2 linked regions of the Oreochromis niloticus genome follow. The protein of the gene in region 1 purifies or fractionates together with the protein of each later gene. This does not show direct contact. Links are inferred from orthologs where the notes say so. Each region holds a gene or a part of one and is shown on either strand. Other genes may lie near its edges.

Evidence for each region.
Region 2: the proteins of arpc1a (region 1) and arpc2 purify together in Homo sapiens (affinity purification with mass spectrometry; 8 studies listed by BioGRID and IntAct, counting the BioPlex papers as one, with this or other methods). This does not show direct contact. The link is inferred for Oreochromis niloticus from reciprocal best matches to the Homo sapiens genes ARPC1A and ARPC2.

Annotation. Positions count from the first base shown.
Region 1 is NC_031971.2:12,856,472-12,860,393, forward strand, and holds the start of arpc1a (actin-related protein 2/3 complex subunit 1A), read left to right. Parts: upstream 1-1,361; 5' UTR 1,362-1,708; exon of another isoform or gene 1,709-1,820; intron 1,821-2,385; 5' UTR 2,386-2,412; coding exon 2,413-2,476; intron 2,477-2,757; coding exon 2,758-2,862; intron 2,863-3,081; coding exon 3,082-3,304; intron 3,305-3,922. UniProt on the Homo sapiens protein: Probably functions as a component of the Arp2/3 complex which is involved in regulation of actin polymerization and together with an activating nucleation-promoting factor (NPF) mediates the formation of branched actin networks.
Region 2 is NC_031986.2:14,309,990-14,313,911, reverse strand, and holds the start of arpc2 (actin-related protein 2/3 complex subunit 2), read left to right. Parts: upstream 1-1,229; 5' UTR 1,230-1,382; coding exon 1,383-1,456; intron 1,457-3,438; coding exon 3,439-3,473; intron 3,474-3,922. UniProt on the Homo sapiens protein: Actin-binding component of the Arp2/3 complex, a multiprotein complex that mediates actin polymerization upon stimulation by nucleation-promoting factor (NPF).

The sequences.
Region 1 (3,922 bases):
TGATGTACCAGGTGCTGTTAATTGAATGTGCCTCTGATTGGTTCAAGAAAGTATTACCCACAGTTCAATGGCACGATGAGCATGTTAAGCAGGTAGAAAGGTCTTTCAGTGCTGGGGCAAACCTTCCCCCAAACAGCCATCTTGCTTAGTTTTATTCCATTGGAAATTGGTAAAAAAATCAAATTTTTGCACAGTAAAATCACTTTTTGTTTTTTAACACCAAAGAGAATCTGTTCTTTATGAGTAAGGCCAGATTTGCTCTATTATGCAAAAATATTGACCCACTCCTCATTTCTTTAGATGCTTATCCTTATCAGGGTTGCAGGGAGGAGCCAATCTATGCTTTTATTGCATTAATAGTGTGTTTGTGATCATTGTCATGCTGAAAAATGAAGCCTGAAAAATGCCAATCAGATACTTGACAGACTCTACTGACTTCCAACATATTGATGAGGATTTGGCCAAAAGCTTCACATTTGGATTCATCACTCCAATAAGACCTGGTGCCACTGATTTTCTGTCCAGTTCTTGTATAATTTGGCATACTTCAACCTTTATTCTTCCTTAAGAATGGCATCTTGATCAGGTACTGTTTATCTGCTATAGATGGTTTTTAGGCATACTTCTTCTTTTGTCCTTCACTTGTCCAGTTTCCTCAAACATTTTAAGAACACACTGCCTATCATGCAGAGATATGCCATTTTTCAGCTAAGAGCTCTTTGTTAATCCCTTCTTTGGTGGAAAAATACTGAAAAAAATGAAAATTCATCTCAAACTGTGCTTTTTGGCAATTTCTATATTTTCAACTAAAGAAACTGGAATAATTTGTGTGTGTGTTTTGTGACAGGCTACTAGTAACAGTGCTTAAAGGTACAATTTAAAATTGTTTCTTGCTAAATTATCTGTTAAGTTTAGACACAACACTGATCATACCTTGATTTAGAAGCTTTTTTTATTCTTGAAGTTTTCAGCATAAAGTGGATTCATAAAAAGAAAAAAATCAGGCATCAGGTACAAAGACTGAAAATAAGTGAAACAGCAGCCAATGCCCAAAGAAAAAGCCTGGAGCACTATTGCTCAAGACCACTTTAAAAAGATGACATGAAAATCTGTCTCATTAAAAGCTAAATACAGAGAAACTAGGGGTGGGTCAAGAATTTTACAGAGTACCATAAATATGAATTTAAAACTTGGTTTTTAATACCGAGTCGGTGATTCTATGTTTTGGCACATTCACACATTATCAGACAAAACACTTAGACCTTCTAAGCCTGATTAAGTCCTCCAGTCGTGTTTAATACAACACTGATACAGCGGCCACAAGTCTGTGCTGTTTTGTAACCGTTTAAAGCACTCTGGGTGTTTGTACGTGAGCCACTAGAGGAGCTCTTCTCGGGCTAGGAGTAGCGTGAGATCCAGCGACGTGAACGAGGTTATTCACTTGAATGTAACAGCTAGCGTGATGATGCTAAGCTAGCTGTCAGCCTGGCATCCACGGGTTTTGCTGCCGAGTTTTAGCTACCAGATGCTCCCGGTCGTATCCTGCTGGCCGTCTTGACATTCCCCTCAACATTCCTGGACGAATTCGTGTCGACTGACCAGAGTCCGCGAATTCAGGTCCACTCCTAATCTAACCTTTCCCCCCGCTAGCGTGACTTAGCTCACCGGCTAACAAGAGTTCAACACTCGGGAGAACCGGACTGACGAGGTAAGTTAGCATACGGAGGCTAGTGGGATGGACAGGCTAATGGTGTAGCTGTCACCGGGAGTAAAGGCTTCTTGTACGAGGAAAAAAATAATCTTAGAAAGGAGGCCTTCTGGTAAGCGTGTGGACACAGTCGTTGTCATTATATCCCTCAGAATTCCCCATCTTGCTGTTAGGCCTGTGTAACACCGGCGAACTGTGAGCTAGCAATTTGATTGACTTGCTAGTAACGTTTTGCTAATGTTAATTTACCGAGTGAAGCAGCTGACCTAGTAATGGTAATATTACCGGAGCTAGCTTAGCAAGTCCGTACTGGTTTAGAAGAATGTTGTACGTCTGTTTGGGGCAAAAAAGGACTTAAGTGAAAGTCAGCTTGCTAACGTTAATTTGCAATCATTATTTAAGAGAAACTAGTAAAGAAAGCTTCTTGGTGACAGGGTTTATCTAAAGAATCCAAGCCAGCGGCTAACACGTACATTACGAGTTAGGTTAGGTTGCTTTAAAAGTTAACAGTTAACTAGCTGTCCTATGTGAGCAGTGAACCAGCAGCTTCCAGTATGTATGCTGTAATGTGTGTAGTTTTTAAGTCTACCGAGACATCGTTCTGGTCTCCTGCTAGCTGGGAGTGTGTTTGCCGTTTGTTACTAAAGCTGAGTTTTTGCTGTGTTTTTGCTTCGCAGAGTTCAACTTAAGGACCACACCCAAACATGTCCCTTCATCAGTTTCTGTTGGAACCCATCACCTGCCACGCATGGAACCGCGACAGGACACGTAAGGCTCCGAGACTGTAGCTATGAGAAATGCTCACTTTAACACAACACATTTCAAGGTTAAGGTCTTAAAGGCTTTGTCTTCATTGGGTGGTCAGGTCACAATTACAAAGAATGCTGTTAGAGCAATTTCATCTGAACAGAGATAAGATTGGCTCGGTTTATTTTGGGTAACAGGTTGGAATTTGGCATGTATCAGAAAACTTGTCTAACTTGTTTGTTATCTGTGTGCTCATCGTGTTAACCAGCTGGTTTCTTCTGTTTTGTTTTGTTTTGCTTCAGAAATTGCCATCAGTCCCAATAACCATGAAGTTCATATCTACAAGAAGAGTGGCAACCAGTGGGTTAAGACCCATGAACTGAAGGAACACAATGGCCACATAACAGGTGGTTAATCAGATGTTTTTAAGACTGATCATTTTTTACTTGTGAACTGAAACGTAACATTAAATGTCTCACCCAACATGTCAGTAAAATTAATGTTTCTGAAGAATTCTTTAACAAGTAAAACCACAGCTAAGGTGGGATTGTGTGATCCTAAAGGGGTTTCTTTTTGTCTAAGCTATTAGTAGAGTTGTTAGTGACTGCTTATTGGCTGTGTTATAGGCATTGACTGGGCTCCCAAAAGTGACCGCATAGTGACATGTGGAGCAGACCGTAATGCCTATGTGTGGTCCCAGAAGGAGGGGGTATGGAAGCCCACACTGGTCATCCTCAGGATCAACCGAGCGGCCACCTTCGTCAAGTGGTCTCCATTGGAGAACAAGTTTGCAGTGGGCAGTGGTGCTCGACTCATCTCTGTCTGCTACTTTGAGTCCGAGAACGATTGGTGAGACTATTAATCCAGCAGTGGCATATTTTAAATGTGTTGATGTTCTTGTGAATGTTGTGAATAATGTGTTTCTTTTAAAGTGCAGCATTTAAGTTCAGTCTTGCCATTTATTTGAATTATTAGTGCATTATTTTGAGCTCATACGTCCAGACCAAACTGCTTTACCTCAATTTTCACACCTGCTTTAACAGGTCAGAGCAGCCACACAGCCTGTGTGAAACGCTTATCTGAGGTGTGGCTTGAACATTCATACAGAAGTGCGTCATCAAGAGTTGGGAGGCATGTCTCTCTCAGCAGTTATAGACTGTGAAAAAATCTGTTGGTAGCCACATTGACTTGCTACCAGTATCATTACAGAAATGATACTTGTCATTATAGTTATAAGGCTACACCTGTAAATGTCATAAACACAAAAGTAGAGTTGATTTTTTTTTTTTTCATTGGCATGTTATGATAGCATTTGAAGAAGAATGAGGGTGATACATGTGTGGTATGCAATCACAGCACAAACCCAGTGAAGGCTATAATTATGTGAGGACGTTAACAGAGCATTAGGTGAAGGGCAGCCTTTCTCTGCTCTCTACTTATCTCTCTGGTGGAGAGAGAGCTGTGCTG
Region 2 (3,922 bases), on another chromosome or scaffold:
AAGGTGTAGGTCTATTAGGTTATGTTGTGGTGATCCTCGGGTTGGGGGATGGGTGTTCATACTGGAGTGCAAAATTAAAACCAATGGAAGATGGACAAGTAAAAGTTCAAAGCCATCAGGTGCTCAGTTTAGAAAAAAAAGAAAAGAAGAAGAGGAGAAACAAGCAAAAGATGCAGGTAAGCAGATGTGTCATTGGATAATGGCAGGTCATCCTGAAACAATCAGAATCAGAATACTTTCTTAATCCCTAAGGAAATAATGTGGGTTACAGTTGCTCCAAGAAGAAATGGTAAAAATAGTAACAGTAACAGACTAAACTCCAAACAATATATACAATAATATAATATTAATTAGTCATTGTCAATTGTTGATTTGTCCTGTTCTCATTGTATGACACATTATAATGGCTGTTTGGTAGCCGTTTGCATACTATCCATACTTTCTCTCTCTTCATATCCGTGTGTGTGTGCGCATTTTTCTCTGGTGAAATTCAGTATGGTTCCAACAACAGTTTTATGTTAATGTACAATCCTTAATGCGTTTCGTGTGTGTGTGTGTGTGTGTGTGTGTGTGGGGGGGGGGGGGGGGGTGGTAGAGGGAGTGTTCGACAAACAGGCTAGGACCGCCACTGGTCACCACACCACATCATCTGCCTCCATTTCACCCTAACTCAGCATTCTCTTCTGTCCTCCTTAAAAACATCCATGAACCATCTATATGGTTTCCTCTTTTCTTCCTGCCTGGCAGCTCCATATTCATTTTTCATTGTCCAATATATCGACTATCCTCCTCTGCACACGTCCAAACCAGCTCAGTCTTGCCTCTCTAACTTTGTCTCCAAACTACTCAACATGAGCTGTCCCCTCTAATGTATGTCATGTCAGTTCTAATTTTCTCCTTCCTACCACACCAAGTTTGGCCTTCTGTCTTTTTGTCTCTTACATCTTCAAACCATGCCCCACAGCAGGTCTCACTACCATCATGAAAACCTTCCCTTTCTCTCCTGCAACGGTCTGTTCTTAATAAATAAATAGTCTTTTTTTTAAACAAGTATGAACAAGTATTTCCTGATTAGTACAGTTGTATGGCCCTAAATTGTGGCTGATGTACCACTGAAACTTATTAAGTCGCGGACACCTGTTTCTTTCTTACCAAGAAAATACTGTCATTACGAATTTATTACAGGCATTATTTTAGACGCCCCAGTCTTATTGGGGCCCTGCGAGTAAAATACGCGGAAGTTGCAGGCGGAAGTAGCCTCGACGGAAGCGGTCGGGTCTGTCAGGGCAGAAAAAAATTTGCAGAATTTGACACAAAGAGGTGAACCCCACCAAACAACACCGCTAATCCCCCCTTTTTCCTCGACACCGGCGTCCGCTGCGATGATCCTGTTAGAAATCAATAACCGCATTATCGAAGAGACGCTGACGCTCAAGTTCGACGGCGCATCCAACGGGTGAGAAATCATCGCTACACCTGGCTAGCACTGCTAGCTTCCCCTTTAGCTTCTTACAGAAGATGACGGCTTCATTTAAAGAAACGGGGAAGATCGGGTGCAGCAGGTTCAACACAGTTAAGCTATGTGGTATTAACGAGTATTTATTTTTTTTGAAGTGCCGAAATACACATAGAGTTAGCTTCTTGCTCTGCCTCGACGAGCCGGGGTGTGTCTGCACGGGCGGTGTTGTGCCAAAAATTGTAACCCCGTTGAATTTCATCTCCCCTGGCGGTTCTCCCACATACCTTGGAGATAAAACAACAAAGCACACAATAGATACTTTGGTTATATTTACACTGCACTGCCAATAAATACGAAGCAAATGTTTTTAAAAGGTTACATGGCCTTAAGGGAGCTAGCGGCAATAAAGCTAATTTGTAAGCTTTTTTTTAATGATTAAGCTGTTCCACACTGGTTGATAACGTCATATGCAAAATCACAAACAGCCTATAGTAACTCCATAAAAAAAATATATTGTATATTTTTAAATAAAGTGAGGACTTCATTTCAGTTTTCTTTTTTTCCGCACACAACAGGTTTGTCAAGGCAAACTATCTGCTCATTTCCGGTGTCACTCCACCACGGCAGATCAGATTATATGCCCGCGGTGTTTTGACTTAATAAAGACCATTTATTTGCCTTCCGCGGCACTACATAAAGCTTTTAGTGGCTAAATGATAGCCAACCATCGCCCATCTCTCTCTGTTTCTCCTGCTTCCGCATTCCTGTAGTCAGGCTGAGTCAAGTCTGCGCTCTTTGCACAGCCAGCGGCTGTAGCTCCTCAGAGCATGAGCGTGTGGACAAGTCGTTGCAGCATCCACCTTTACACTGTTGATTTGCTACTGTGCATTCTCCAGGCATTGCTTAGATTGTTTAAAAAGAGACTGTCATGTCGAGGTGATTCATTAAAGTTGTGAATCCATCATGAGGTGATTACATAAAACATTAAAATGTTTTGAATTTTAGCAAGCGCGCTGCTTCATCTTGCAATTAATTTGTGTCCCAGTGCTTGGCTGACAGCGGGAGTAATACCAGTATTGTACAGTACTGTAACTTGAACAGCAACTAACAGGTCCTGATCAGATTATAATGTAGAGGAAATAATGAGGGCCAGTTCTGATTAACTCCCCATCCATGTATTTCACAAACTAGTAACCAGCTTACCGTGAAGACACCCTTTACTAAACTACTCTACATGCGTTGTAAAGCTAGCGATACCGTTGAGCTTTTATGGTTTTATCAGAGGAAGTGATTGAGTTTGGTCAGCTGCAACTGCTACTAACAGTTCTTTTTATTTCTCCTTTTGCAGAATAATGTCTGCAAATTTGGGAGCATTTGTTTATTTTATTAAAAAGGCAGAATTTCCCTAAAAATGGCCAAAAACTTTCCTAAGACTTGGCAAGGCCCCTGAACATAGGAATCAATTGATATTGCCTTGTTGACCAATGTTGAGCTATTGCCATATAAGTTGTTGACATTTATGCTGCTTGATTCATGCCAATGGTTTGTATTGATGGCAAATAAAGTCCAATTTTAAAAGTAACAAGAAGACGGGAGAAACACCTGTCAACCATGTTATCGTCTTTTTAAAAAACCAAATATCGGTATTAGTATAATTTTTAAAAAACTATTTTGGATGGGCTCTAATATTTATATCGTTTTAATCATAGAAATATGATAATGTTTTTAAGAATCTAGTGGCAGTAATTGTAACAAACAGGAAACAAAGCAATAACTAGCTAGCTTGTTTGAAGTGTGTGGCTTTGACTGGTGCGATGACCCTTTTTGTTCCCTTTTTAACCATCAAGGCTACTTAAACCTCCTCACTACCTCCAATGTTTCTTTATTTTTTTTGATGGTGTTTAAGATGGTGAATTGAACACCAGCTTTGCAGGCTTAACAAACTTGTCTCCTCATGTTGTTTCTTTTTCTCCTTGCAGAACCAAACCAGAGGCCGTCGATGTGACGTTTGCAGGTGAGCGTCTCATGCAGCAGCATGCTATTTTTGCCCCGTTTGTAATATATTTGAATAACCATGTTTAGATTTTAACACACAGTTTTGATAACATGGCTCTCTCAGCCGAGTTGAGTCGTCATCATGAGTGTGCCCTTTTTGGTGTCTGGATAAGGAAGTTCTCCAAATTAAATCAGACCAAATAATATGAGCCAGTGTTGGATGTGTTGCATGACATTTCTTTAAATGACTTCAGTGTATGTGTGTTGTGTCATGCAGTATTTTGTGTAACCCGCTGTGAAAAAGGTTGTAATGTGATGTTTGGATTTGGGCAATGCCTGATCAGACACAGTCAAGTTGTCTGAACACCTGTTTCAAAGTTTGAAGGGTGATGCTGATGGTGGTGTTGTCTTCAGTTTCCTATTATGCAGCTAGCTTATTGCACATCTTCCTGTAATCAGTGTTGAATC